Linked DNA regions of Nothobranchius furzeri. The protein of the gene in region 2 purifies or fractionates together with the protein of the main gene of each other region. This does not show direct contact. Links are inferred from orthologs where the notes say so. Each region holds a gene or a part of one and is shown on either strand. Other genes may lie near its edges. The genes, in order: bckdha, ppm1kb, dbt and bckdhb.

Region 1 (8,776 bases), on a different chromosome or scaffold from region 2:
AACTGAGTTCTCGAGACATGAAAGTAAATTTCACTATAGTCTGTCTCTATCTGACAATGCTGTTGCATCTTTTAAATCAACTGTTCCATCTTTACCATCTTCAGCATCTCAGAGGAACATAGCAGAGGGCAATATTTTTCTTTCTAGCCCTTCACAAATTGATGCTTTAGTTCATGTTACTTCCTCTTTACGTGTGGCATTAGATGATGTTGCCCCTTTAAAAAAGAAGGTAATTAGGGACAGGAAGTTGGCTCCCTGGTTTACTTCTCATTTACGAACTGTAAAACAAAACTCTAGAAAATTGGAGAGAACATGGCGCTCTACACCATGAGGAGGCCTACCTATCCTGGAGAAATAGTCTTGTGCTTTATAAAAATAAGCTTCAACAAGCTAGAACTGCTTATTTTTCATCGCTAATTGAAGAGAATAAGAATAATCCTAAATTTCTTTTCAGTACAGTTGCCAAACTTACACAGAATCATAGCTCTGAACTATCTATTCCCTTAGCCCTCAGCAGCAATGACTTCATGGGATTTTTCACAAGTAAAATTAATTCTATTAGAAACAAAATCATTAGCAGCCTCCCTAATGCGATTTCTTCTTCCTCAGTAAGTGAGGCAGCATCAGAGGTAACTGTAGAACCTCATCTGTGTTTGAACCGTTTTGCTCCAGTTGAGCTTTCAGAGTTATCAAAAATATTAGCTTCATCTAAACCTTCAACTTGCATTTTGGATCCAATCCCAACCAAATTATTTAAAGAAGCATTTCCTTTGGTTACTGCCCCCATTCTAGATATAATCAATCTATCCTTAGTAAATGGGTATGTACCACAAGATTTTAAGGTTGCTGTAATCAAACCTTCACTTAAGAAGCCTTCTCTGGATCCAGATGACCCAATGAATTATAGACCAATATCTAACCTTCCATTTTTATCCAAAGTCCTGGAGAAAATAGTGGCCATCCAAGTATGTGAGCATTTAAACACTAATGCTCTGTTTGAGGAATTTCAGTCTGGTTTTAGAGAGTATCACAGCACTGAAACTGCATTAGTGAGAGTTACAAATGATATTCTCATGGCCTCAGATAAGAATCTTGTGTCTGTTCTAGTCTTGTTAGATCTCAGTGCTGCCTTTGACACAGTTGATCACAATGTTCTTTTAGAAAGGCTTGAACATGTTGTAGGGATCAAAGGAACAGCGCTAGGCTGGTTTAAATCTTACCTGTCTGATAGATATAATTTTGTAAACATACATGACAAATCTTCTTCATACTCCAGGGTTACTTGTGGAGTACCACAGGGTTCAGTGCTTGGACCAATTCTTTTTACTATATATATGCTCCCAATTGGTAAAATCATTAGACAGCATGGGATGAACTTCCACTGTTATGCTGACGATACTCAGTTATATCTATCCATTGACCCTAATTAACCTAATCGGCTAGTTAGATTACAGGCTTGTCTTGAAGACATAAAAAATTGGATGACTCAAAACATTTTGCTTTTAAATCAAGACAAGACTGAAGTTCTCATCTTTGGACCTGAAATTCAGAAACGGAAATTGCTTAGTCAATCACCTGACCTAAATGGCATTAAATTAGTCTCAGAGAACAAAGTAAGAAACCTTGGCGTTATCTTTGCCCAGGACATGCCATTCAAATCCCAAGTTAAACAGGTTTGTAGGATTTCCTTTTCCCACCTTCGGAATATTGCTAAGATTAGATGTATCCTTCCCAGGAGTGATGCTGAAAAACTAGTTCATGCATTTATTACATCAAGACTGGATTACCGTAACTCATTACTCTCGGGAAGTCCACAGAATGTAGTTAAAAGTCTTCAGCTTGTCCAAAATGCTACAGCTAGAGTTCTGATGAGAATTTAAAAAAGAGATCATATCTCTCCTGTCTTAGCTTCCCTACATTGGCTGCCTGTTAAATTCAGAATAGATTTTAAGATCCTCCTTCTCACATATAAAGCTCTTAATAATCAAGCTCCATCATACATCAGTGACCTGATTGTTCCATATGTTCCTAACCAAGCAATTCGCTCTCAGACTGCAGGTTTACTGGTGGTTTCCAGAATATCTAAAAATAGGATGGGAGAGAGATCTTTTAGTTATCAGGCTCCTCTCCTGTGGAACCAACTCCCAGCTTTAGTCCGTGAGGCAGACAGCTTGTCAACTTTTAAGACTAGGCTTAAAACATTTTTATTTGATAGGGCCTATGGTTAAAATCTGATGTTAGCCCAAATCTGGACAAGTGGGGGAGTAGGAGGTGGAGTGTACAGTCGGTAAAGATGACTCTCCCTTGACCTGCCTCCAACACGCCTACATCTAAAAGGCTAGGTCATCCAGAGTTATCTCTGTAGTTATGCTGCTATAGGCTTAGACTGCTGTAGGATACACTGACCACTTTCCACACTTTACAACTTTCTTCTACAATCTGCTCTTTAACTGTATTTCCTGCAATTTCAGCTGTTAACTTTATTTTTTCTCTAAGTGTTTTTCTCCCCAGAAGGAGCTACAATGATGTTCTGCTTAGCTGTGGTAGCCTCATGGAGGGGGCCATCATCTTGAACACTGTTGCTAAACACTTAAAACATTCTCCCTCTCCTGATAATAACATTTGACTTTCCTTGACATTTAATGTGCTACTACTAGTTTACCCGTTTAATTATAGATTCAATAGGATAAAAACAATAAATAAAGTTTATCTCTCACCAAATAGAATATTTACTAAGAAATTACAATGTAACCATAGAAACATTATTTGGTGTGTGCGTGTGTGTGTGTGTGTCTGTGTCTGCTCTGTCTTCTCGATCCCCAGTGAGTCGTGGTGGATGGCTGCTTATACTGAGCCAGGATGCTCTGCAGGTTTTTTCCTGTTAAAAGGGAGCCTTCCTCTCCACTGTCGCTGCATGCTTGCTTAGTGTGAGGATTGCTGTAAAGTCACTGCCACTAGTGGACACTAGTCAGTGACTCGATGCAATTTGCTGGGTTACTTATATAGGAAACTTTTTTCTGATTGGCTTAATGAATTGACTTGTATTGGAATGTTTATTATTTGAAGTGCCTTGAGACGACTGTTGTAGTGATTTGGCGCTATATAAATAAACTTGAATTGAAAAAACTTGAATTGAATTTTGCAACAATGGAGAAATCAAAACAAAACACACAACTAGACCTGGTCTGGAGAAAAAACAAAGTCTATAGTTCATACCGACCTGTAGGTCATCGCCTCAATAAGAAAAGGCTGATTTTCAGCCACAGCTCTGCGACGCGCTTCCTTTGTAGCGTTGTACACCGCAAACACATCGTTACCGTCAACACGAATGGAGAGCATCCCGTAACCTGGCCCACGAGCAGCTGGTAGACAAAATAACAGGATTTTACTGAGTATTTTACAGGGCGTTCATTATTCATAACTTAAAACCAAATGACAATAAGAATAGTTTAAAAAAAAAAGCCTTTAAATCGGAGAAGAGAACCAAAGCGGGCTTACCAATGCCATCTCCTCTGTACTGCTCATTGGTTGGGGTGGAAATGGCGTAGCCGTTGTTGCGGCAGAAGAAAATCAGCGGACACTCGAGGGTCGCCGAGAAGTTGAATCCAGCGTGAGCGTCCCCCTCACTCGCTGCTCCCTCTCCGAAATAACAGATCACGGCCCGATTCATGTTCTCTCTCTTGATTGCATACGCAGCTCCAACCGCTGAAAAGGGACGCAAATGTGAAGAAGAGCAAAGTTTGCACTGAGGAAGTGAGAACGACTAAAGGCTGCAAGCTCACCTTGAGGAATCTGCGTGGCCAGAGGGGAGGAGATGGTGACAAAATTTAGATCTTTGCAGCCATAGTGGACGGGCATCTGCCGGCCCTTTCCCAGGTCGTCAGCGTTGGCGTAGCACTGGGCCATGAAGAGGTCCAGGGGGAAACCACGGTACATCAGAACTCCTGTTTGAGCAACGCGGAAATTATCACCGAACTCAAGGACCTTCATAAAATGTTTCATGGGCGACGGTGGCACAGGAGTTAAGAGCTTGCCCCGTAATCAGAAGGTTGCAGGTTTGAGCCCCACTCAGTCCGTCGCTGTCGTTGTGTCCTTAGGCAAAACACTTAACCCACGTTGCCTGCTGGTGGTGGTCGGAGGCACCGGTGGCGCCAGTGCTCGGCAGCCTCGCCTCTGTCAGTGCGCCCCAGGGCAGCTGTGGCTACATCGTAGCTCATCCCCACCAGTGTGTGAATGTGTGTGTGAATGGGTGAATGACTGATTGTGTTGTAACGTGCCTTGGGGGGTTCCAGGACTCTAGAAGGCGCTATATCAAATACAGGCCATTTAGATTTGATGCATCAGTAACTGTTTGCAGCAGATTTACCAAATGTGATTTTTTTTCTTTTCTTCTTAAGAAATCCTGAAAATGTGTCTGATTTGCTTACATAAATGAAAAAAAAGTAGCAACCAATTTGCATCAGCTGTTCGACCAACTGGAGGCAACAACTCAATGCTTTGCATAGCGTCACAATAGAAAATACAAAAATGTGTTTAACAAATTGCTGACTGACAAGTAAAAGAAGTAATGATTACTTTCTATTTTAGCCGTTTTACACTTTGAGTGAGAAAAGGACCACTCCAGAAAACTCGGAGACAACGTTAGAACCACTTGCCTGCTTCTCTATATTGACCAAAAACCAAATCACTGGGCTCCAGAGCTGCAGCACTGCCAATGTGTGTCCCCTCCTCACCATAATTAGTCATGTAGAAGGATATTCGGCCCTGCAACCAAAACAAAATACCACTTCATTAAAAAAAAATACACTTCATTCACCTTTCATAAAAAAAAAAAACACACCTGTCTCTGAGACTCGTACAGAATCCGATCCATCGTGTTCAGAAGCGTCATCTTCTGATAAAAATTTAGAACCGTCTCTTTGGACAGCTGAAAAAACACAAACATACTTTTTTAGCCTGTCGGGAGAACATGTGTGATTTTAACGATCCAGAACGGAGGCAGAAAAGAGTACCTGAGGGTCTTGAGAAGGATTGATTATTTTCCCCAGCCTATCCATGACCCGGTACACCGGGATCCCAGAGATCACATTGGGCTGGATGAAGTCAAGCTGGTCCACGAACTCGGCCGAGGCGCCGGGGAACTGAGGCTTTTCCAGCGACGAGTCGAAAGTCTGCTGCTGGTGCGCCGCCTGGAAGTTAACAAAGATTTTAAAAACAAGACTCACCAACAAATCAGCAGCTATAAATGGACATTTCCTCGTGACATCACACCACAGAGAGGGAATATAATGAAATAAGAGTGTGTGCTCCATCTTCTCAAACCCCCAGTGAGTTGTGGCAGACGGCTGCTCACACTGAGCCAGCTTCTTTTGGAGGTTTCTTCCTGTTAAAGGGGAGTTTTCCTTTCCATTGTCGCTGCTTGCTTAGTTTGGGGATTGCTGTAAAGTAACTGACACAATAAGCTAGTGACTCGATGTCTTCTGCTGGGTTTCCGTGGATATAAAAATGTTACCTAATTGCCATAATGAACTGAGCTCAGTACACTGATTTGTAGGTTCAATTGGAATGTTTACAAAGTGCTTTGAGGTGACTCTTGTGATTTGGCGCTATATAAATAAACTGAATTGAAATGATAGGTTTATTAAAGTTTGAGCTATAACCTTTATCTAGAGTAGCGCTCGGCAATAAATAAAAAATGTATCGTTATCAAAATTTCTGACTCTTATCAAAAATAATTATTCTCATGTCAATAAATTTGATAATAAAAAAATGAAAAGAGGTGTGTAGGTTGGAAACATTCATGTCCCTTTAAGAAGCTGTACCACTTTGAGTCACATAAAAGCCCCATCTAGTGGACAACTTTTGTTTCTGCGCATACCTGTAGTAATCGTCCATTTATCGATATCAATATTGTCCATTTATCAATATCCACGATATATCGTGATATTGATAAACACATATCGCCCAGCCCTAATCTACAGGGTAAAATATTTGAACGCAAAATATCAACAAGTTCTGGACATTTATGAAGCGTATCTTAAATAAATAATACTTGGCCAATTTCAAGAGCACAGGTGCTGCAGGCTGGTGAGGGAGTGCCTTGTTAACAAATCATTTGACCATTTAAATTTTCCACATGTATGTTGAGGGTAAAACAAACATGACCTACTAAAATTGCATCTATTTGAATAGATGGTTTTGTGAGGTGAAAGAAGAATTGGTCCCTAAAGGCTTTAGTTTGTGGTTAGGCTAAATCAGTAGGTGAAAGACTTAAGGTGTGGTTAAGTTAGAACAGAATAGACTTTAAGGATCCCACAGAGGGAAAATTCACTCGTTAAGGCAGCACATACACTTAAATAATACAGGTAAATACACAAAGGCAGTAGGCTACTATTGTAACCTTTATCAAATAAAAGAATGGATAATAATAGAAAATTTGAGTTTCTAGGAAGATGGTAAATAGCCTGTATTTGTATAGCGCCTTCTTAGGGTTCTACAACCCCCAAGGCACTTTACAAGACAATCAGTTATTCATCCATTCACACGTTGGTGATGAGGAGCTACAACGTAGCAACAGCTGCCCTGGCGAGCGCTGACAGAGGCGAATCCTGCCAAACACTGATACCACCAGTCCCTCTGACCACTACCAGCAGGCAAGGTGGGTGTCTTGCTACTGCTGTCCCATTTAATATACCGAATGACCAGAAATAACAGCATAAAGAACACAGACATACAATCGTACAATCATAATAATGTTATTTTAACTTACAGTTTAGAGGTTATATTCTGTAGCGGTTGTGCTTCCTGCTTAGACGTGTCCTTCACAAATTTTGTCAAGTGCAAGAAAAGTCACCATCCAGATTTAAAGGTATTGAACACTTGTTTAATCAATACATCTGTAGTGGTCTCTAGTAGGAATGAATACCTTGTATGTCATATTCTGGGGGGAAAAACAGCGGTGTGCCATTTTCAGGAACTAGAAGTGAGCCACATCCCAGCTGAGCTTCAGAGCGCAGGATTTGGAATCTTTTTTCCTTGTATTGGAACATCCTGCCTCGGGTTGGATAACAGCAACATGACTCTACCACTGACTTGCAATGTGGATGTTTTATCTCCACAAATACCTTAAAGCTTGGTTTATGCTTGACGCATTCACTTTCCGCTTGGTGATGCGGCTCGCGGATGGAACGCGCTTCACAACTCGCAGCGTTTATGGTTCACGCGGCTTGTCTCTGCGGTGAGCCAATATTCTCCCAAACTGAACGGGGCAGCATGAAGCTCTACGGCATGCATCCAACACTAAACCATAGTAGAAATTACTGTTGTTTACAACATGGCATTCCAGCATTTTTAACAGCGTCCTCGTCTTTTCCGACAGTGCAAGCTATTTCTCTCCAAGATTTATTAACAACACGTTGATCAAGGTGATCTCTGAGAGCTGAATCATACAAATGTCTGTATTTACGAACCTCTGCCATACTAGTTCTTGCCAGTCCGCCATGTTTTTCCACGTCCGACCGTCCGCATGGTTAGAATTTTTTCATAGGTGCGCGTTGCGGAAATTTTGGGCCGTGGTTGTTAAAATGACGCAATTTCACAGCGCGGACCTCGCGGACGCGTCAAGCATAAACCAAGCTTTAGCCTAAAGGAGTTCTGCTGTGTGGGGGAGTTTCTAATGCTAACGTTAGCTTCTACTTGCCAAGTCGTTCTCTGCGGTTTCCTGGGCGCTAAACCATCTACAGCCTTCCCTGTCGTGAGTCAAGATAGGTGGGTTCAGGAACGTTCAGTGACAGTGTGATGTAGATCTGTCAGGATTTTCTAATCCTAGATTTTCACTGTGTATTTTCTAGCAAAAGCTAATGCAGGAGATAGGTGTAGGAGATTGTTTTCATGTTCAGCCTGCATGAAAAACTCAAGAGTGACTGATTATAATCAGAAATAAGTTTTAAGTATTTTTTCTCAGTGTTCCACATCTTTAAACAAGTATGTGTGAGCATGCTGCTGGACAATTACTGCACTGCATTTGAATACAACTGATAAAGGTCTCTAGTGCAGGGACACACAGAACCGTTCAAACGCCTAGGGACAGTTTTCAACCTGACATGCGTGTTTTTAGTCTACGAGGAAGCTCACGCATGCACGGGGGTGGGGGTGTTGCAAACATGCAGGTCATGGAATTTGTGACCTCCTAGACATCAATGTTACAAACTGTACCGCCAAGCAATCCTAAAGTGTAAAAGTGCATTTCAAAATTATAAACCTTTTATAACTAAGCCGTCTTTGTTTACTTTAGTGGTGCAATTTTCGACAGCACTATGAGCTGTATTCATCTCATGATGCTGTTGTATGATTATGACCTGTAGGAGGTGTATTAAACAAACTTGTGGCCCGACTGGTTTATCCCTTACGCCCCTTCACTCGACCAATTGGAAACAAGCTAACCTAAACTTTAGCCAGCTGGCAAAGATCGTCAGACACAAAACAAAAAACGCATAACGTTAACACAACAATGTGGTATCCATCCGTGAACATGTAACTGTGATTGTCTGCAATAGTTTAGAGAGACAAAAAAGAAAATTGTATGCTTCCGAATCTGTTAGCATAACCTGCTAACACTCAGGTATCGCGATAATTTAACAGGTCAAGCGTGTTCAAAATGTTTCATTCTAATTTTTACCTCATGAACTTTGCTAAACGTTAGATTTACTTCCATATAATCTGCACCAGTTGGTGTAGACATACTTATTTTTATTGTCTCCTGCAGCCTACCAGGCCA
Region 2 (7,551 bases):
TACAATATGTACACTATACACTTTGTACACTGAACACTTACTTCCTTTGCGCCCGAACTTTGTGGGTTTCAGATCCCATCAGGTATCAGGCCTAATTTTTAGACGTTTGATCTGATTTTGTCTAAAAAGGAAACAAATTCTTATCTAGAGAAATAAGGTAAATATGCTTAAGCCTTTGGGGTCCAGGGTATAAATAGCAGTTTTTGATTATTTAGATTCTTCCTTTCCAAAATAAAAAAATATTTCTACTGCCTTATTTGTTTTCTAATGTTTTCTGTCAACGTCTGTCTCACAGTTCACCGCGATCCGTGACCGCTCGTATTTGCAGTTTTCATAACTTCTGATTGTCTAATAAAAGGCAATTCCTTTAGTTTAGTACAACACACCTTTACTTGACCTATTACCAAATTTAAAACTAGGATAAAGCTTATAATCTCCACTTTAAATGTGAACTGAAACTGAAACTCAGGGAGGCAGAGTCTCGCCGCTACGACGTCCCAAATCAGACCTGTTTAAACGACGCAGATCCGCGTCCACAGAACCAAGAGGCTTAAATATGATGCCGATTTTCTTGAGTAAAAACATCTGCCAATGGGGAAGGCAAAAGTTGCTTGGCTAGAAATCTTAAAACTAGCAAAATAATTCATTTTATTTGTTAATTTTAAGATTTCTAGCCAAGCAACTTTTGCCTTCCCCATTGAGATTTTTTTTACTCAAAACAAGATAATCTGGATTATATTTAAGATGAACCCTTTTCTAGAAAATTCATTTATTTCTAGACTTAAAAAAAGACAAATATCCAAAAATGAGGCCATTGTTACCCTCTTAGAAATCAGTTTTTGCAGTGCAGAGCAATAAACGGCTGGTTTAATAAACTCCATTATGCACTAATATGCATTACATTTGAAGCTGTTTTGTGCGAAAGGACAGCGGTGGTCCTCTATTAGGTCATTTCAATAAAGAAACCTGTAAGTGTTCAGTTTAGAAACACAAAAATTCACTTCTTTACTCTGAATCTCATTTTTGTTGTGAAACACATTTAAGTGTCATTCTTGTTTGGCTTTAATTTTACTTTGCATCAACTGAGAAGCAAATTCATTATTAATTTGGTCCGATGATGCAGATGTAAAATTAGCACCTGGAATACTTTCTGTGCCTTTTGTGTTTAAATAACTCTCCTTTCAGACGATGTTGTTTTGGGAGAGGAGGGTTTAAATGAATCATCGCTGTTTATTCACTAAGCTCTGACACAAAGCCAGAACAAAGGGTCTTCTGTGCCTGACATGCCTGAGTGGAGGACGCACACTCACAAATCACACTTCTAAAAATTATTTTGATGATTTGCATCAAAATGTGCTGATTTAACTCAGGACTGCATTTCTGCTCAAAACGTTTTAGAATTATTAAGTATCAGATGGTGTATTTTTCTACTATTCTAACAATGTAGCTGTAAATATTGGAAATGCATCAAAGGTGAAACCTTCTGCCTCTATAAAATTAGGTATTTTTTTATTTCAACATTAAACATCTGCTTTAGACTATTATTGTTAAATAAAAATGTCTGCTTTTAAATTCTTCCCAGTTTTCGGTACTTATTAGTTTGCTAGTATAAACCATTTTTTAAATTTGGTGCACATTATGAGTTTGCTGCTCCTTACATTGCAGAAGCTGCTTTAAATGACACATCATACCCCTCAGGCATCCTTGTTCAAACATACTGCTATCGTTAGGTTGATTCCAGGGCGTAGAATGTATTGCACATGTTAGCTGGCTCTGCACACCACACCTCTTAACCCAGAGGCCTGCTGACTAGGCCCAGCGGCTGCTGGACACAAAACTTCTGCTGAAGGAGAAGCTGATATCTGAACTCTTGTGTCTTCCCCAAGCTCCAAATGGCACCACAATGATTGTGCTGTTGTCCTCTGTGCCATAATGAAGAGCCTGAGAATAACACAAACAACATTTTACCAATAAGGTTTAGGCCAAATGTATGATTCAGTTACATTGTCCTTGAATCCATGACAGATTTTATCTCAGTAATAACTCAAAAATCCTCTGAAATACAAAACATAAATGAAGTTAACTTAAATTTGCTCATATTTAAAATGAAAAATGTGAGCTAATTTTAAGTTGGAATATGGAACATTTTAATAAAAAGCTATATTAAAAAGAATAATAACTCCATGGGGCATTCAGAGGTGTGCAGAATGAATGTAAAATTTCTCCTTTTAAAGCTATATTTAAAAAAGATAAATCAAATTTTCCATTCTGTCGGGCACAACACGGTTGACGTTTACATCTAACAGCCACTAGAGGGCACCGTTGCACTGAAAAGTCCACTCGGCAAGTCAAGGTTGGGACTGTGTAAAATGGCAGACTTGACAAGTCAAGCAGCTGATTCTGGGCCCAGAAGATGTTCTAACAGTGAATACTGTTGTAAAATTAACATATTAGTAGAAATTAGTCCTTATCCTATGATATTTGTCTCTGAACATGGTGCTGGAACGTGTCAGCAGTGAACCAACATCTCAGCAGCTGGAAAATTAGTTGTTGCTGCAACACCACCTCTGAACACCAGAGTTCACCACATTGTCCATGTTCCACAGTAAACCATTACATTTTAATAGGTGTAGAACACAATTTTTATGATAAGCCTGCATAAATCCATTCTATGCAACGTTTTCATATTTTTATTGATTTTCTTGAACCTGTACAGGTCCTTCTCAAAGAATTAGCATATTGTGATAAAGTTCATTAATGTCTGTAATGTAATAATAATAATAATACATTTTATTTAAAAGCACCTTTCAGAACACCCAAGGTCACTTGACAGAAAACACGTAATACAATAAAACAATAATAAAACCCAAACAAGAAAAAAAAACAGAGAGAAACAGTTCAATAAAATCAGAGGTTGTAGGCAGATTTAAACATATGTGTTTTGAGTTTTGTTTTGAAAACTGAAAACTTACCCTCTTGCTTGAGGGTGTCAATGATGGCCTTCTGGACAGCAGTCAGGTAGCAGTCTTACCCATGATTGTGGGTTTGAGTAATGAACCAGGCTGGGAGTTTTTTTTAAAACCTCAGGAATCTTTTGCAGATGTTTAGAGTTAATTGGTTGATTCAGATGATAAAGTTAATAGGTCATTTAGAGAAGCTTTTCATGATATGCTAATTTTTTGAGATAGGAATTTTGGGTTTTTATGAGCTGTATGCCAAAATCATCAATGTTAGAAACAAGAAAAGGCTTGAACTACTTCAGTTGTGTGTAATGAATCTAATATACATGAAAGGCTAATGTTTATCAGTACATTACAGACAATAATGAACTTTATCACAATATGCTAATTTTTGAGAAGGACCTGTATGTGCTAAAAGGACATACACTTAAGGCAGTGTTTCCCCTACATAAACTCAGGCGTGACGCTGCGCCACAGCTGAAATTCCAGTGCTACGCACACGGTCCATTTTTTTCTACCTGGTCAGAGATTCTCTGAGCGGCCTCTTTGGGGTCGTGGCACTGGTTGATAACGTTACAGATTTCCTGGCTGTTCATAATGAAGTTAATCCCATCTGTGGTCAGAGCCAGGAAGGAGTCATGGACATGATGCAACTGAGGAAAAGAACAATTATTTTACAATTTACAACTGGACATTTCTGAAAACAAATTTAATACAGTGAACAAACATATAAACAGCACTTTTGTTTTTACTCCCGTTTTTCACGAGCTGAACTCAATCATCTGAAACTTTTTCTACATGCACAAAACATCCATGACTCTCAAATATTGTTCTGAAATCTGTCTACATGTGTGTTAGTGAGCACTTTTCCTTTACCAAGATAACCCATGCCACCTCACAGGTGTGGCATATCAAGGGGCTGATATCAAGGGGCTGATTAGACAGCTTGAATAATGTACAAGTGTGCCTTAGACTGCCCACAATAAAAGGCCACCCTGAAATGTGCAGTTTGATCAAACAGCACAATGCCAAATGCTGCAACCTTTGAGGGAGCGTGCAACTGTCATGCTGACTGCAGGAATGTCTGTGATGATGAGCAGATTGCTGATGTCATCGTTGTGGAACAAGTGGCCCATGGTGGCGGCGAGGTACAGGTATGGGCAGGCATATGTTATGGACAATGAACAAAGGTGCATTTTGTTGATGGCATTTCAAATGCACAGAGGTACCGTGACAAGATCCTGAGGTCCGTTGTTGTGCCATTCATCCACGACCACCACCTCATGATGCAGCATGATAACGCATCGCTCCATATTGCAATGATCTGTACACAATTCCTGGAAGCTGAAAACATCCCAGTACTTGCCTGGTCAGCATACTCACCAGACATGTCACCCATTGGGCATGCTTGAGATGCTCTGGATCGGCGTATACAACAGCCTGTTCCACTTCCTGCCTATATTCAGCAACTTCACACAGCTACTGAAGAGGAGTGGACCAACATTCCACAGGCCACAATCAACAACCTGATCAACTCTATGTGACGGAGATGTGTTGCCCTGTGTAACGTCACGAAATGGCCTGATTTTGAGATCCCACAGGTCAAGATCTACAGCTAGGTCAATTTAACCTGGCTATGACACAACCTACAATACTTTCCCCTCACGGGAGACTGGAAGTCTGCCCGTAGTCCCTTTAATCAGAGCCTGCCTTCCTCACACCAACTGGACGCGCGTGTGTTCGCTCACACGTGGCCTACACTTCTTGTGTCCAGGCACACTGTGTGTGGCATTGATGGGTTGTCGGGTGATTCCAAATGTCCTATGACTGTGACTCCACGTTTGCATGTTGTTCAAACTACTGCTGTTGTTGTTGGTTAACGCTGGTTAGTTAATACCCCTGCTCGTGAAGCGGATGTTTTCTATGAGCGTCATGGTGTGTCCACACGTGTTGTGCTTCCATCTCAAACCCTATGGGTGACAGTTCCACGTAGTGCTACGGTCCATGTAGGTGAGGTCTCTCGATATTACTTGGATCCTGGTGAGCATAAGTCTGTTGTGGAGTTTTCTCCTTTTTATGATAACATCTCCTTTGCTCTTTCTCCAACTACGGTGGATTGTGTTACGTTCAGTGGTCCAACCATGGTTCGGGTTGGTGTGGTAAACAGAGTGCTGCGTGAGTTGTTGGCAGATCCCAGTCTCAGGTTTCAACCAGTGTCTTACTCCTGGTCCTCCGCTGATTCTGTCGTGTTATTCACTGCATGCTTGTCTTTGGGGGTGTCATTTCTTCTGTTCCATCACTTCTCTGCACGGTTGACCTCTCTAGGGGACTCGGTCCGCAACATCGGTGGCCGCCTATCTCGAACTCTCGCTATAGAACAATCTCAGAACAATATTTAAGAATCATAAGACGTTTGTGTATGTAGACAATTTTTCAGATGTTTGCTCATGAAAAATGGGAGCAAAAACTAAAGTGGTGCTTTTATATTTTTGTTCAGTGTAAATGACTGGTTTCAGTTCTAAAATGAACTATCAATAAACCTCCTACCGTCATTGCTTTGGTTTCTGGCTCAGCGATGACCCCTGTCTTCTTCAGGTCAAAGTCTCCGATACTGCGTGTCATTGCCAACCTCCCGTTAACGTTCGGCTGTCCAAGGCTATTCCATGTCACAAACCCTCCGCTTTTTTTTATCCTTGAGACCACAGTACATTTGTAAGAAAGCTTTTTTTTTTGTTTTATACAGAAATAGAACAATGCTTTCTCACCTTGGTTAGACATTTAAAAAAATTTGTTTATATTTCAAAATGAAAAATATGAAAAATTTCATCACACACACTACTATAGCCTAAGGGCTACTCTAGAGTAAAGCCTAATTTATACTTCTCTTTCTGCCTTGGGGAGGATGCACACAACGCCATTATCTGTCCTTGCGAGCCTGCTGGAGAGCCCTCGCAAGAACGAACAAAGTCGAGCTCTCTTTTTTAAACATCCGTCTGTTGAGACGGAGAACGCAAGCTTGTGATTGATCAGGACGCGGCTGTCGTGTACAGCGCCCTCAAAAACAAAGAGAGCCAAGGATACCTAGTGGCAGACACAGGAGCAGCTTGAAGAATACCTTGTGGAAAAACTCTAAAAATATGAATGTTTTACTACACTGTGACTAGAGAGTGAAAAGATATGCGGAAAGCATTTTATCCATGGATGGAAATTATGGGAAATGTGGGTTTAGAGGTGGCAAGCGCATGAAGAGGTGGAGGAGGATGAAGGACAAGTTTGTCCGTGTTACCTCATTCACTGCCAGCCGTTTCCTGATCAGAAAAGCCCTGCGCAGCCAGCGTTTCAGGATTTTTTTTAAGTCACAGAACGTTGCCCTCTATGATGTCAATGCCAAAACTACCAAAACAAAGAGTAGACTCACCTCTTACATCAGCAAGATTCTGCGTGTTTCGAGTGTTATCCGTTCTTTCGTAATCCCGTGCCGAATTGCTTTTCCAGTTCGCGCCTTACTTTTTTTTTTTCCTTTCTTTTCTTTTTTTTTTTACAGCAGCAGCCCAAAACGACCTAACACAGATTTTCTGCTTCCTGATCACGAGACGTGTGATGTACGCGGGTGGAGATCAGCTTTAGACCTGGGATGTTTGTTCTCACGGTGCGGGGGCTCATTCCCACGCCCACACAGTAAAAAAATGCAAAGTCATCAATGGCAGTGAACGGTTGTATTTAAAATGACGACTTTTGTCATCAATGGCAGTTAATGAGTTTGAGTAACTGAAACACAAAAAACACTATAAAAACACACCATCTTGGACCAGATACATGACAGGATACCACAGAACAGCACTATGCCATCTGTTGTCCTGCCAGGGAATTACTTTGCAACACCCCCCAGGAAACGGAGAAGAATGAGGTCAAATTGCCTCCGTCCGTGTGTGCGTGTCTCTCCCTCATGGAGCTGACGGAGAAGTATAAATTAGGCTTAAGGGCTATTATCATGTAAGAGCTACTATGGTGTAAGGGCTGCTAGAACATGGGGCCACACTATAGCTTAAGGGCTACTATAGTATAAAGACTACTATAGCATGGGGCTACTGTAGCATAAGGTAGTGTTTCTCAACCCTGGTCCCCACACATGTGTTCCACGTCTCTGCTTCAGCACACCTGATTTACGTGTTTGCAGTGCTTCCTCAGGATGACGTCAAGTGCTACAGAAGTTTGTTAATCACTCACTGATTTAAGTCAGGTATGTGGCAGCAGGGGAAACACTGGTGTTTGAATAGGGCAACATGAAAAACATGTAGGCCAGGGAGGCGCTGAGAACCAATGTTGAGAAAACCTTTTCTTTGTTGGATTTCTTCTTTAGTTTTGGCTAAAACCTTTTTAAATAAATCCTGGACTTCCATAACAAAAATACGCAAAAATTTCCCTAATAAGCAAAGCTAAACAAAAATGCTTTTTTTTTTATTATTCACAAAAATGTCCAATTTATACATCTCTTCATCAAAGTAATTTTCAGTAGAGCCAAGTTTTACATTAGTGAAAGGATGCCGACATCATTTACCTGTCTTTCTCATCCTTCCTCTCAGGAGTGTGG
Region 3 (6,176 bases), on a different chromosome or scaffold from region 2:
GCTGTGGTACCGCTCACCCCGGGGCTGATGGGGAATGTGTTTATTTCAGGTCCAGCACCATGCAGGCCGGGTTCTCCAGGTACTCCCTCCACAGGTTGGAGAAGCGACACATGGTGGCGCCATCGATGATGCGATGATCTGCTGACCAGCTGACCTTCATGATGTGAGCTGGAATCAGCTCACCGCTGGCATCAAACCGGGGCAGAACCTAGACACACAGTTAGAACGGGCCTGAGAAACATCCGCTCACGTTGGTTCCCGTTTGGGATCACAGCACAAGATCTCACCTGGATTTTTCCCAGGGCTCCGATGGCGACCTCAGGAGGAAGGATGACCGGTTTGGCGTACGTCCCTCCGATCTGGTTCCAATCACAGACAACCACGTTAGTTTCAGGTCGGGTTCTGCAGTAGAACGCGGTACTGCGGTGCGGTTGGACTCACTGATCCGATGTTGGACAGAGTGAACGTCCCCCCGCTCAGCTCGGTGGCACCCAGCTGACCTGCAGCCCCCAGCGCCTGCAGGCGGTTCAGCTCCTGGGCGATCTCGAACACGCTGAGCAGCTGAACGTTCTTCACGTTGGGAACCAGCAGACCCTGGCTGGTGTCCATTGCAAGCCCGATGTTATGAGATGCCTGAGAAGCAGCCAGAACCGTCAGAGCCACCCAGCTACCTGTTCAGAACCAGTGAACACCAGGAATTACCTTGTAGGTGATGTTCTGACAGCTTTCATCCACCGAGGCGTTTAGGATGGGGAAGTGAAGGAGACCCAGAGAGGCAGCCTGAGCCAACGAGAGCACACGGTTATCACTAAGCCAGGACTGAGGCTCAGGACCTCTGGACCAATCAGGGGTGAGGTTAAAGGTGCACCAGAATGTAAAGCCACGCTCACTAGTGATGGGAACTCCGGCTCTTTAGAGTGACCCGCTGACCTTAAATGAGGTCAGAGCCCGGGGGCAGCGTGCTCTGACCTCCATTACAGTCAGGCTGGCGTCCTCTCTGCGGGTTTTTGATCCGACTTAAAATCCTACGGTTTTAGAGATTCATGTGATCATATTATGATTTTAGTGCTTTAACTGATCCTGCCTGTTCAGCATGTTGCTCAGCGCTCACGCCGTGTCTTTAACGGTGCTATACACATAGAGTTGGTCCGGTCCGGTAAAGTGAACCGGTTCTTACGGCTCGACTCACTGAAGCTCCGAGCCATGCCTCCTGGATTTTGGACTGGACTCTACAGTTTTAGGAATTCTTATTTCGGCCACATTGGACTTTTCAGAACTTTTGTCAGTTTTTATGCACAATTCTGATCATGTCTTAGTTCTGGGAGGTTTAACATGCATGTGTGCTGCCCTGAGAAACAGCTGGTGGAGGACCGGGCCCACACACAAGCACGGCCACACTCTGGACTTAGGACTCCCAAACGAGAGGACTAGCAATACCAGTGTGGTAGATTTTCTGACCATGCTGCACCTGGGTTTGGTTGTGACATCACTATTCCACCTGTAGTATGACCAGCGGTGCCAAAACTCCACTGGTTTTTAATACTTTTAATGTTTTCTGTGGTTGTCTCCAACCAGTGGCCTTCGTAGTACTCAGTCCCGCCTGACCCACAGTTGTTCTCTGATCGTTTTGACTTGCTATGTGCATCAGTCTTGGATGAGACTGCGCCCCTCACTGATGTCAAGTCTGGGAGAAAATCTGAAGGTTGGACGTCAGAGGAAATCAGACACATGAGACGTGACAGCAGGAGGGCTGAAAGGCTGTGGAAGAAAGACAGACTTCAAATCTCTTTAGAGCTGTTCAGGTCCAAGCTAGCCTCGCTAGGTCCAAGCTAGCTCGGACCTAGCTGGCAGGTAAGAGGGCTAAAATTAACTATTTTGCTGGCATTATTTCTTCAGCCTCAGGTGACCAGCACTGAGTTCAGCGCTGGACCCGGAGGGAATGGTTACTACAATGGATGACTCAGTTGAGAGCTGTGAGAACTTCCAGGTGTTGTCTGGAGAAACCTGCAACAGCAAGAGCCTCTCTGGTACATGACCCACTATACACCCCTCTGGCTCCACCTCCACTATCAGCCACATTAGACTCATTTACTGTGTCGGATGTGTTGAAGCTGGTCTCCAGAATGAAGCCATCAGGTTCCCCGTGTGACGGTTTCTCCAGTGTTGGCTCCTCCGGTAGTGTCCATCATAAACAGCAGCTTCAGTCACGGCCTTGTGCCCCACACTTTGAAACATGCGGTGGTGAAGCCCCGCTAAAGAAGGCAGCTTTGGACCCAGGAGTTATTTCCAACTACAGGCCAATCTCGCGCCTTCCCTTCAGTTCAAAAGTCCTTGAGAAGACAGTTTATGATCAGCTCTGTCTATTTTTGGCCACCGACGAGATCTTAGAACCACACCAGTCTGGATTCAGATCTGGGCACAGCACTGGAACTGCTCTCTTAAAGGTGCCCAACGACGTGTCCCTGGCAGCTGATGCTGGGAAGGCGGTGGTGCTGCTGCTTAGTGACTTGACTGCAGTGTTCGACACTGTGGATCATCAGGTTCTGCTGGAACGCCTAGAGCAGTGGGTGGGGATTTCAGGAGCAGCTCTGAGCTGGATGAAGTCCTACCTGACTGGTAGAACTATGAGTGTTTCTACAGGTAATCACTTATCGTCTCAGAAAGAGCTGAAATGGGGGGTCCCTCAGGGATCTGTTCTGGGTCCCCTGCTCTTTTCAATCTATCTGCTCCCACTCAGCATGATCTTCCACAGCTGCGGTATTGACTTCCAGTCGTATGCCGACGACTGCCTGATTTATCTGCCAGTGAGAGAGGGGTTGTCTGGCTCATTAAGTCTCTGGTGGAATGCGTGGAAGACGTGCGTTCACGGTTGTCGACCAACTTCTTCAGTTGTAATGAGAGCAAGACTGAAGTCATAGTTTTGTCACCTAATGGCCATCAGCCATGTAGCATAGACCTCTTATCATTAGCACAATTTGAACGTAAAGTGGTAACTGATCTTGGTGTGAGACTGGACTCTGGACTGACCTTTGATGCACAGGTGAACTCTGTAGTGAGATCATGCTAACCCTCACCCTAACCCTAACCCATCCTTGCGCCTTGCGAGGATCAAGCCTATGCTATCCAGAAAGGACCTTGAGATCGTAACATCTGCATTTGTGCTTTCCAGACTCGACTACTGCAACTCTGTATGTCGGTCTGACCACTTCCACACTGTCAGAGCTGCAGATGGTTCAGAACGCTGCAGCAAGGTTTATTACCGGAGTGAACAAATGTAACACTCCAGTATTACATGCACTGCAGCGGCTTCTGCTAAAACACTGCATTGAGGTCAAGATTCTGGTATTTACATTCAAGTCACTAGCAGGGACTGCGCCGCCTCATCTATCATCACTACTGCAGAAACACGCCCCCTCAAGATCACTGTGCTCCGCTGCCAACAACCTACCGGTCGTTCCACCACCTGAACATAAGAGTCGCGCCCCAACATTGTGGAATGGCCTTCCACTGGAATTAAGACTCACAACTACACTTGAAGCTTTTAAAGCACAATTAAAAATGCACTACTGACTCACAGCACCCCGTGAGGCCTCTGATCTGGTTGTGTAACTAGTTTTTAGCTAAATGAAGATTTCATCTTAACCCTCTTAGCTTGCACCAGTACATGTTCCTTTGTGTTCTCTGAGTTGTAGGCAGAGTGTGACGTGTACATACAGCTTCTTTATGGGTAGTTATATTCTTACTGAGCACAAAGGTAACTACTTGTTGTTCAAGTGTCTCCAGTTCTTTCTCTGAGGCGTCTTCTGCTGAGTCATGATTCGTCTCTGCTTTGGGATTTATGAAAGAAAACGTAGCGGAAAAATGTGTACAACTTTAAGTTGACTAAGGACCTGGCCTACACACACTGGACATGGAGAGCACCCCCCCCCCCCCCACACACACACACACAGGCTGAAGCGCAGAATACAGAATGGGACATAACATCATGCGTCTGTGGCAGTGTGTGTCCTGTTACTGTGACCTGATTGATGATGCGCCCTGGCTCTATCAAAACCTGGATGGTGGGAGCTTTCTTCAGCTGAATGAAGATAAGACTGAGATCCTCATCTGTGCCCCAGACAAGCTGGTTCCCAAAGTCAGAGACTCTCTTGGTCAGCTTGCTTCCCACACCAAACCTTCCGTCAGGAATCTTGGCGTGACCTTTGACCCAGCTCTCACCCTGGATTCTCATGTCAGTTCTCTTGTTGGCTCTTCCTTCTTCCATCTCAGGAACGTTGCTAAGCTGAGTCCCATTCTGTCACGCTCTGAACTTGAGACAGTTCTCCACACCTTCATCTCCTCACGCTTAGACTACTGTAACTCTCTTTTCACGTGTCTGAGCAGAACCTCCCTGAACCGTCTACAGGTGGTTCAGAACGCCTGTGCTCGGCTTCTGACCAAGTCCTCCAAACACACCCACAACACCCCACTTCTCCTCCAGCTTCACTGGCTGCCAGTCAACTTCAGGGTTCATTTCAAGATCCTGGTTCTGGTCTATAGGGCCTTACATGGACAAGCACCATCTTACATTGGTGATCTTCTTAGTCCCTACACCCCCAGCAGGTCCCTGAGGTCCAGTGACCAAAGCCTACTGGTTGTGCAGCACCAGGCTAAAGGTCAAAGGTGACAGATCATCTGCTGCTGTGGCCCCCAGACTCTGGACCTCTCTCCCCCTGAGCCTGAGATCAGTGGACTCAGTGGTCTCCTTTAAGAAGCAGCTGAAGACTCACCTGTTCAAGCTGGCTTTTGTACGACCTTCTTCACCTCTCTCTCTTTATTCTGCTCTCCCCACCTATTCCACCTTCCTCAGGATCCACTGGTTTCCCTCTTTCCTGTTCACTCTCTCTCTGTCTTTACATTTTTTAATCACAATTGTCTTTTTTTGCTCATTTTAAATATATTTTTAAACATTTTCTAAATGCTTTTTTATATTTTTATGTTTTTGTTTTTGTGAAGCGCCTCGTGATTTTTATCTTGAGAGGCGCTATAGAAATGATATCTTCTTCTTCTTCTACTTGGCCAATGGGGATGTCCCTTTGGTTGGCTGTTAGAGCGCGTGACTCTCACCCGGGAGGGTGATGATCGAATCCCGCCGGGCCCTCGTCTCTCCACCCTGTCACACGTCATTTATAGAACAACACAGAAGGCATGATGTCCATCTTTTATTTTCTTGCCAATTCTTTGTGTTCCTGAAATTTCAGCAGGACGCCACATATTCTGTGCGGTTCTTCTCGCACTTCGTTCTCCGCACTAATCGTGTCCCTCTGTGGCTGCAGGACGGCGTCAGTTAGCACCCGGCCACTTCCAGGTGCGCCATGCGCCCGAGGCACACTGGTGAGACAGGCCGACCCTGCAGCCACACCTTCGGTCGCCTCGTTGGACGCTTGGTCCAGAGTCACTGGGGGGACGAGATAAGGTTTTGTTTTATGTTTTCATGACGGACACGTTTGATCTGCATTAATAAAAGGCTTGCACGTTACCAGCCTCCTCTACATGGTCAGTGTCTCCCTCCTTCTCCGGCACGATGCCACGCACGCTCTCCGGTCCGAGTACTGCTGAGATCCTAACGGAGCGGTGGGGCATCAGAGGTGCCAGGGCACTGCCAGTGGCAGACACACTCTGGCGGTGGCAAAACATCTTTTTTTTATCCTCCACCTTCAGATTGGACCATTGTTTATATCCGCCACAGATCTCTCTGAAGAAGTCAGCATTGACGGCTTCAGCAACGCTGTGCCACTCCGTGGATTTTCTCTTATTTGTTTTGCAAAAGCACTTCCTTTCATTTCTCCACCTCACCCACAGGTACCTCAACTTCTGCTTGTGAAATAGCGCTTCCTTGATCTGCCTTGATCTACGGTCGCCATGTCATTGGTGGAGCGCTGCAACAGCCGGCTTATGTATATGCATGAGGTCCACAAGGCACTTTGCATTGACCATTTATGGCAGTAAGTGGGCGTGGTGAGAGCGGGATGTGACTAAAAAGCAGCTGAGAACCATTCTGGTTAGTCTCTGATTTATGAAGCGGAGGTTGCGTGCAGCTGTGTGTCCTCCATGTTTGATAGGTAACACACCTGCTTGGTGTAAGAACTTTTGTGTTGCTGAGCTTAAGTACGGTTTTAGTAAGGATGTTTGATAAA
Region 4 (8,776 bases), on a different chromosome or scaffold from region 2:
TTCCAGAGGTCTATTGGTTTGTTTATACGCAACTTTGTAAGCCTAGGCAATAACAACGTTTGCTTCTTTGAGAAGTCTCCTCTTGGAAACCCTTCCAAACATGCCAAACGTCTTCAGCACTTCTCTAACTGGACTGAACTGAATTAGACCATTTAACACACTAACTAAAGCCTGAGGAATCTAAGATGCAGTTCTTGGGTATTTTTACGGTTCCTTTAAACATTGCACCGACAGACCTCAGAACGAACCTGCTGGGAGACCCACACCGCATGAGATTGCCAACTTATTTGAATGTTTTCTGGTTGTGAATTATCTTTTTACTGTAATGTTTTTGTACCTCAAAAACATGGGTAACCGATGATGGAAATTGCAAAGGTTTGAATGTGGTACTAACTGAACCTTCATAACGTCCCTTCCCATAATGATGGGCAGTAACACCTGCTTCGCTCAGACCAATGCTGTTGTTTTTCCTTCTAAGCATTGTGTCAACATACATCTGTATACTCCAGACAGCAAACTGGAGAAAAAAAGACATTTTTCTAGAGGGATTCACAGTGAAGATGATCAGTTACTAGTTGTATCCAATCAACAGGATCAGACTTCAAGCTGCTATAAATGCTGCAAATCATTTCCAGCAAGTTACATTTGTTTCTGTTAAATAATGTCAGACTGTTTAACTGAGATTGCATTTACTCATCAGGAAGACTTAACAAAGGCCAGATGATTGATTTTGTTCCATGAATCCTTACATCTGAACAAAGGATGTAGACTTTGCTACAGATATGACACTAACCTAAGTTAAGACACTCGTGTAATCACTTGAAAAATGCTATTTTTAGGTTGCTTGAAAAAATAAAAACCTAAAACATTTGGACACACTAAAAAATAAACCAAAACACAAATTTTCAACAATTTTTTGTTGTATTGTTGCAGGTTTTAACAGTACAATATGTTAAGGGTTGAACACTTTTAACCAAAGTTAACACAAACCGGGAGAAAGTCACAAATTCAACCAAACAGTGTCTCACAAAAATACAGGCTTTGTTGAGGGGGGAAATGCTTTCTGTGAATTACAAGAATAGTTGAAGCTACGTTTCACCACTGATAAAAGTCGATCACCTCTCCCTTCCAGAAGAACACGGCTCTCCAATCTGGAGATATGGTAACAGTCTTTCAGAGTGAGGGACATGGATGCCATCTGGATACTGCTTTCTGACTGGATGGTCAACAAAGCATTTTTCTGGAAGCCCTCCACTAGCTGGATGAATGAAGAATAGATGTGGGGAGAGTGTGGAGTTGAGGTTGACCCGCAGTTGGCCCTGCAGAAGGAGATATGGTTCAACAAGTGAAGAACTTGGCACTCGATGGTGGACGACAGATGAGGAAAACGTAGAGCTGGACTGAGCTGAACAGTGATGATGAGAGGTGACATGTGTTGGATTCAATTAAGTATCTAATAAATGCGTCATTCTTTTTGGGAAGCCAGCAGTTCAACAGCAATAACTCAAAATGACAGAGACAATTAAAAAGGAATTCTAAAACAATGTGGCTCTGCGACTGTCCCAAGTTAATGAATGTCATTATTCCTGCAAATAATAAAAGACAGATCTGGCATACGGTATCAGATACACATTATGACTTTACAGAACTTCACAGGCATTTCCATAACTTGCATGACCTGGTGACAGTTGTCACTAGAATCAGTACTGGGTGCTCTGGTTACAGTTCAGTGTGCCTAAATACAGATGTGAATCCAAGAGTAGAAAAATGTCACAGGAACCTAAAATCCTTAACTTTTGTACACAGAATACCTAGGAACACTCTCCTCAATATCATCAATATTATATAAATAAATGAAATGTATTTGAGGAATGCTGGTACAGCTGAACACAGCTTCAATAAACTGAATGCAACTGATGTGATTTACAAGAGTTCCTCATTTTTAACCTGTCTCTACTTTGGACACACAAACATTATCAACAGAATAAAATTAAATAACAAACTAGCTACAGTTAGTTACACAACAAAATAAAATTACATTGAACAGTAAATTTTTGACAGTAATCATGCTAAAAGTACACAAACATATAGAAAATAGAGACATTTTGAAACTAAAATAACGTGATAAAATCTAACCTTTTAACAAACAGCTTTTCTATGTCTGTATGTGCCAAGTAATTAACGAACTCTACTAGGTCAAGTAGTACGGATTAAAACTATTTTGGCCTTGTTTAATTCTTACTCCATTATGACAAAAATGAAAACCAGGATTATTTTGATTGAATATAAGATCTCGATTATTTAACACAATCTTTAATTAATGTTAACACACACTTATTGAACAATAACAATGGCAACTCCATCACTAGCTGGTTGCCTAGGCACTCTTAGGAAAAGAAAGTAATTAACATGCCGTTGGAAATAGTGACAAAGACACTAAGTTGGTGCTGCTGTGTGGGAAGTGAGCTCAGTTTACAACTCGGAGCAGCGCAAGAGTAAAAAGTGAAGGAGAAACAAATAATCTCTTATTAGACTGTTGAAATCCCAGATCATAATTGAGATTCAAATTAAATTATTCGACCAGCTTTAGGTTAAATCAATCTGTCATTGAAATCACTAAAACCACTAGAATAAATTACACAGACTATAGGGAAACTGGCAACAGGCTCTAAGTAAAATAGCAATTAATTGCTATGCAATAAATATATGTTAAAAGAAGCCAACAGATCTTCTCTACCTGCTTGCATTTTCAGAAGTGGATCATCTTCTTTATTGCATCAAAGCACTTCCACTTGTCAGGGATGTAGAAGGGCTCAAAGATGTGAGGGAAGGGGGTGTCATAACCACAGACCCGACTGATGGGAGCCTCCAGGTTAAGAAAGCACTCCTCCTGTAAGAAACCAAAAACACGAACATACATACTGTCACTGCTAAAATAGAACTCATACATCACATCAGCTCTACCCCACCACTGTACAGACGAGGAATGGTAGGGGGAAAACGGTGCACCTATAATCTCAGTTCGGTACGTACACTCTAAGAAATGATTCAGGAGGTTAGTTATTAGGACTTAAAAACAAGAAAAATTTTCTGCATAAAAATTAGAAATTGTTACATGTCCATTGTTTGTTAAGTTGAAAAGAAGTTGAACAAAACTAAAACTAGTGAAAGCTGTCTTAACTCAGAAATTCAGTGATTTTGGATAAGCATTTCTGCCTTCACTTAACAAAGAGTAATAAGTTATTGAAACTTAATATTGTATTATAATATTAAGTTGTTGCAGCAGCCTTTCACATCACGTGTGCAAGGAGTGAAACCAAAGAATGAAATGAAACCAACGGCCATTTTATGCTGCCAGACTCCAGCAGCAAAGAGAGGGAAAGACACCAAAGAAGGTCAAGGTTGGATTAACTTTAATTGGTAAGTAAATATGTTTTTCTTTATTTTCTTAATTTTATGTGCAATAGCAAGTAACTATCAGCGCTCAATTACACAGCATTAAATTAGAAAGCAGACTGCTTTGTCCTCGGCTTTAAGCTATCAGTTAGCTAGCTAATGTCTTCAAAGTAACTTAGCTAACTTATAAGTGCATTAGAATCGGCTCCAAGGTGCTGAAACTTGCAGTTCTAGAACTGCTGTGGAAATTAATCTTTAGTTCTACTTTTTGCAGACATCTATTTTAGCTGACATTAGTGAGGAAATGTTGTGGAAAAGTGCTAGCCGTTAGCAGTCTTTAGCTCGCCAAGGAGGAAGGACCAGATAACCCGCTTTGTGCAGAACAGTCCCGCATTTTCATTACTTTTCACACCTCCAGTAGGGCTGCTCAATAAATGGAATTTTAATCACAATTACAATCTGAGTTTTGAACGATTATTAAAAACGAAACAAGCCGGTTATTTGCTCCTCCCTCGTGGATTACTCTGAGTTACAAATCGAGCGCACCTCCTAGTGACTTTGTCGCTATTTCTAACTTTTCTGATCCTCTTCTTTGACCTTTTTCTGAAAGTAGCTAGCGAACAACCCAGCAACATTTCTGGTAACCCTTAGCTACTTTATGGAAAACTGTCGTTGATGTTTCCTACAGGTTAGCAAAACACTCAGCCAGCACTCCGGACCATGTAGTGAATTGTCGTTCGCAAACGAAACGGGTCTCAGAGATACACACTGTACCCGCAGGCTCCCGAGCCACTAAAAAAACAGAAAAAATGTACGCGCGCTGCACACGCACACACCGGTAGAGTGATTGCTGTGAGACTGGGAGAGGGTGTGTGCGCACGTGTGTGGGTTGCAGCGCACCTACGATCGCTGTGAAAGCAGGAAGAGGGATGGCACACACAAAATGTCCGGGACATTTATTACAATAACTGATGGAACTTGTAAATAATTATTTTAAAAATAGCTATAAATAACTTGAGGAACTGTAAAATGGTATGGAATAGTTTGCTGTTTGCTTGTTTAAGTTAAATTAAGATAATTATTTTATGTATATTTAACAGTAATGTTAAAGCCAATAGGCAGAATAAAAAAAAATTTGAGTTGGTTTTAACTGTATTTTTCTTTTTCAGAAAAGGACAAACTGGTTGCAAGATTTCCCAACAACAATATCAAAAATTTAAATAACAGCATATAGGCAAGTTATTTCTATAATACTGCTGCACCACGTTCTCAATTTGCAGGCAGGAAGTGGTTAATGAGGCACCACCAGTCACAGACTAAAAAAACCGATGGCCTGCTCTTTTTGATGCAGTTTAGGTAAACATTTTTTTCATAATGGTTTTCATTATGCGCTGTATTGGAATTGATAACAAAATTAATAGATTAACAACAAAAACAACTTATTTTCCTTCCTTTTATTTCTATACAGGCAAACGAAGAATTCAGAAGAATCACTACAGTGAACTTGGAGGCAACATTTATGGCAAAACTGGACAAGTACACCCCAAAAATAATGTCATTTGTGTCCTCAAGAGGAGGGGCTGCAAGAGTGCCTATTTGGCGCATAATGAAGATGCTGCAATGTGATTCAAATAAAATAGAAAATCCCCCTTTTTCTGTTTCTTTTTCTTTCCACTGCTCCTCCTTCTTGTCTTTTCTTCCTCTTCTACTTCTCCTCTGTCCGGTTCCTTTTCTGCTGCTTCCCTAATCCTCTTCCGTTACCTCACTCCTCTTCTACTCATTCCCCCCTTTTTTCTCACGCTTCACTGCAAGAACTCAAAATCAAACAGAGAATATTTAATATTTTTCTAGTCAAAATCTCTCATTACTTTAAACATTGAGACATTACCTAAAAGTAAGTTGTTTTTTACTTGTTTCCAAGTTAGGTTCACTTATTTCAAGCTATTTTCAAGTCACTTGGATCAAACAGAAAAAAACTGCCAGTGGAACAAGGGTTTGTAACGAGGAAAAAAAATCTTATTTCACTGGCAGATTTTGCTTGAAATTTGTGAAACTGCACTTGAAACAAGTCATAAACAAATCTGTTTTCTGGTAATGTCTTAATCTCCTTTTTAATGTCTCATTGGATTATACTCTTCTTCTTCCTCCTCTTCTCCACGCTTCTCTAAACCTCTCTCTTTCACCTGTCCTTGTCTTCTCCTCTTCCATCTTGTCCTGGCCCCTTCCTCCATTTTCTCCCATTTTACTGTCTTTCCCTTCTTATTTGTCATCATGCTCCTCATCTCCCCCAATTTTCTCCTCTTCCTCTCCTCCTGGAGCAAAAACCTCATTATTGCCTTTTATTAATAAGGGAACTGCAGTTTTTTGCAACTTGGCCATTATTTCTAAAATGCTAAATGTTTATTTACTCATCCAGACAACTTTAGTGCTGTCTGAGTTTTTTGAGATATATATAGGTTGGTTTAGCGGCCAGGGCTTTCAGTGGCATCACGATCGCCCGCCATCTTAGTTGTAGTTTGAGCAGAAATTTCACTCTGTGCTCTGTGACGGTTGATTACGGAATTATAGGAAAATGTACAAATGCTGCTCATATAACAACTAAGATGGCGCATGGCCATGACACCACTGAAAGCGCCGGCTATTGACAGTAAAGCGCCTGCTGGTTGTACTAAACGACTGTAAAACATCCTGGATAATAACATCAATGCTCCGAACTATCAGGTGAGTAGCGCTAGCGATTTATACCAAAACATTAGTAAAATGAAGGCATTTTGTGTCAGATAATGCCTTATTTAGAGGCCGTTTGCATTACTTATTATCTCATTATATGGAAATACACTTATGGGGAAAATCTCCCGGAAGACTCCGATAGCACCAAAGTTGTCTGGATGAGTAAATGAACGTTTTGCATGCTAGAAATAAGGTCCAGGTTAAAAATAACAGCAGCTCCCCTTTAAACTACTTAAATAGTCATGGAAATGGGGTAAAGTATTATGAGAAGAACCCTGATTAGAAACCCTTCCTCATATAGGAATACGTTAATATTTTTGTCATCTTATTCACAGGATGATTCTGTGGAAATGAGGAGAGAGGTTTTAATCCATAGATTGGTGGTGTACCTTGGAGAAAAGGAGGAGAATCTAAAGAGCAGTTGGTGGGTAAATCTGACACAGAAAAGCTATACTTTTGTAAGTCTTGTTTTTAACAGTTTTTTGTGTTTTTAATTCTGATCTTAATTCTGACCTATTTATGCAAGGTTGATGGGGATCTCACCAACGAAGTGTTGAAAATCATTGTAACCAGAGGTGCCTCATCTGATCTAGCCAGCACCCGGATTGTAATTAAGGGAACAGAAGTCCTGGAAGAAGTAGACGTACCCAGAGCCTGTGCCTTGCTAATGGGACTGATCTACTCACTCAATCTCAGCTACCCAAAGGAACTAAAAACACCTTAGAAGTGTTTCAAAAGGTATTTCTTGAGCTGGATAGCATGAAAGCAAGCCCGAAAGTAATGTCTCTGAAAAGTAAACTGCTGTTGTAAAATATCTGAAGACTGTCCACTATTTGAGCAGGAAATGTAATTTGTTAACACACTGTGTTTAAATGTTTTTAAGGTTTACCTAAAGTACACTAAGTTTACACCTGAAATGGACTTGAAGTTTAGTAAAAGTTAATATCTCAGGTTATGTCTGAAGGAAACTGCTGTACTAAAAATGAGAAGAGTTAAGCTGTCCAATTATTCAGCAGGAAATGTTGAGTGTACATACACACTTTGCAAGTTTTGCTCTTTACACTTTATTCTGTACAGTTACCGTACATTTAATAGAAGACAGTGAATGAAAAGGTGAGACGAGTAAGAATATAAACAAGGAAGGTGGGCTGGAGAAGAGGAAAGGGCTAACAGAAATATTAGAAACACAAAATGTTCCGGTTAATCACGCTGTTTACATTTAAAATGTATTCCAGTAGTACTAAAGTACATTATAGTTTAAGTTAAGTAAGTATATTTTTCACTAGTTGATTGAGTGATGGGATGATGAGATGGTTTCTGTACTGTGCTGACACTTTGCACTGAAACTGGATATTTAGACTGGGCTTTAGCAATGATCACATCTGCAACTATGTCCTTCTTCTAATATTAGTGCTTGATTGCAATAAAAATATTAATACAAAGGTTAAAATAAATAAACACTTTTTTTGACTGTAAAACTGGAGTTGTCATGTCCAAGTTATTCTGACTTAAATGAAATAGGTTGCTTATACTCAATGAAATTGTTGTAACAATTTGCATTGACATTTTTAAGCACAGGGAAAGTTTAAAAAATGAGTTACAGCAATAAAATAAAGTCATTTGAGCAATTTTAACACTAAAATTTTGATATAAATCTACATCCAGACCATGGTTCCCCAGAAGAACGAAAACAATGAATGCAAGTTAATGAGGCTAAAAACGCTATTTTCTAATCCCGCTTGCCATGGATTTCACATATGATGTCCGTGAATTTTAAAGACACATTTTGATACCAAGAAAGCGCTTATTTTTTAACAGGGGTAAACGTTATTTTGTGTGAAAATAAATCCAGGAATACAAATGCGCATCACAAAAGTGATGTCATCAAACCAAACACAGAGAAAAACAAAGGGAAAATGGCTGTTAAATAAGCGAACTTCAAATCCTTCTTCAGGAGGAAAGAAACACCATGAATCTGGCCATGTGGTAAGTAGCAGCTATGCTAGGGGAGAGGATATTTTGTGGTAACGTCAAATATGCGGCATACTGACGTCTGATTTGTAGTCATGCTAATTATAAACTTTTCTCACAGTACGTGACTGGCATTGCTGAAACACATATCACTACTTTTCATTTAAATTGTAGTAAAACCAGGGGTTGAGCCGGATCTTGCCAGAACAAGGGGGACACCCAGGGGGAGCCCGAAAAAGATCCTGGTTGTACTTAAATTACTTTATGTGGACTCTCCGGGGTTTATTTTGAGCTGAGAGGTGCAGAGCTCTGATTGTTGATGCACTCCAGACAGCTGCGTACTGAGCATGGCCACAGTAATATTCTCAAAGAGTTGCCACCTCAAAAAACATATTTAACACATGGTCATTCATGCCGGCTCATATCCTTTTATACTTTCTGTTATTTATTTGTGTCTTATGCACTTCACTGCTGCGGAGCGCATCCCTTGTTTTGGCCCCTGGTGACTTCACCTCACTGGTGCAGCCAGCACGCCGCGCACACTCCGCTAATTTTGCGGTCGGTAGATCTTTTTGAACTGCAGTTCAAAGGTAACCCATGAGGTGAAAATATATGAAGCCAGGTAGCAGTTTTTCTTTAGGATTGAGAGAAGAAGAAGAAGAAAGTATCATTTCTATAG

What was found.
Region 1: the proteins of ppm1kb (region 2) and bckdha purify together in Homo sapiens (affinity purification with mass spectrometry; 4 studies listed by BioGRID and IntAct, counting the BioPlex papers as one, with this or other methods). This does not show direct contact. The link is inferred for Nothobranchius furzeri from reciprocal best matches to the Homo sapiens genes PPM1K and BCKDHA.
Region 3: the proteins of ppm1kb (region 2) and dbt purify together in Homo sapiens (affinity purification with mass spectrometry; 4 studies listed by BioGRID and IntAct, counting the BioPlex papers as one, with this or other methods). This does not show direct contact. The link is inferred for Nothobranchius furzeri from reciprocal best matches to the Homo sapiens genes PPM1K and DBT.
Region 4: the proteins of ppm1kb (region 2) and bckdhb purify together in Homo sapiens (affinity purification with mass spectrometry; 3 studies listed by BioGRID and IntAct, counting the BioPlex papers as one, with this or other methods). This does not show direct contact. The link is inferred for Nothobranchius furzeri from reciprocal best matches to the Homo sapiens genes PPM1K and BCKDHB.

Annotation. Positions count from the first base shown.
Region 1 is NC_091753.1:46,803,570-46,812,345, forward strand, and holds part of bckdha (2-oxoisovalerate dehydrogenase subunit alpha, mitochondrial), read right to left. Parts: intron 5,190-8,776; coding exon 5,013-5,189; intron 4,928-5,012; coding exon 4,841-4,927; intron 4,765-4,840; coding exon 4,656-4,764; intron 3,945-4,655; coding exon 3,783-3,944; intron 3,706-3,782; coding exon 3,499-3,705; intron 3,363-3,498; coding exon 3,221-3,362; intron 1-3,220. UniProt on the Homo sapiens protein: Together with BCKDHB forms the heterotetrameric E1 subunit of the mitochondrial branched-chain alpha-ketoacid dehydrogenase (BCKD) complex.
Region 2 is NC_091744.1:11,910,397-11,917,947, forward strand, and holds the end of ppm1kb (protein phosphatase Mn(2+)-dependent 1K), read right to left. Parts: coding exon 7,519-7,551; intron 5,653-7,518; coding exon 5,508-5,652; intron 3,614-5,507; coding exon 3,479-3,613; intron 1,942-3,478; coding exon 1,810-1,941; 3' UTR 1,423-1,809; downstream 1-1,422. UniProt on the Homo sapiens protein: Serine/threonine-protein phosphatase component of macronutrients metabolism.
Region 3 is NC_091748.1:80,630,401-80,636,576, reverse strand, and holds part of dbt (lipoamide acyltransferase component of branched-chain alpha-keto acid dehydrogenase complex, mitochondrial), read right to left. Parts: intron 781-6,176; coding exon 703-780; intron 634-702; coding exon 442-633; intron 360-441; coding exon 288-359; intron 209-287; coding exon 41-208; 3' UTR 1-40. UniProt on the Homo sapiens protein: The branched-chain alpha-keto dehydrogenase complex catalyzes the overall conversion of alpha-keto acids to acyl-CoA and CO(2).
Region 4 is NC_091745.1:53,279,966-53,288,741, forward strand, and holds part of bckdhb (2-oxoisovalerate dehydrogenase subunit beta, mitochondrial), read right to left. Parts: intron 2,891-8,776; coding exon 2,750-2,890; 3' UTR 2,738-2,749; intron 1,320-2,737; 3' UTR 1-1,319. UniProt on the Homo sapiens protein: Together with BCKDHA forms the heterotetrameric E1 subunit of the mitochondrial branched-chain alpha-ketoacid dehydrogenase (BCKD) complex.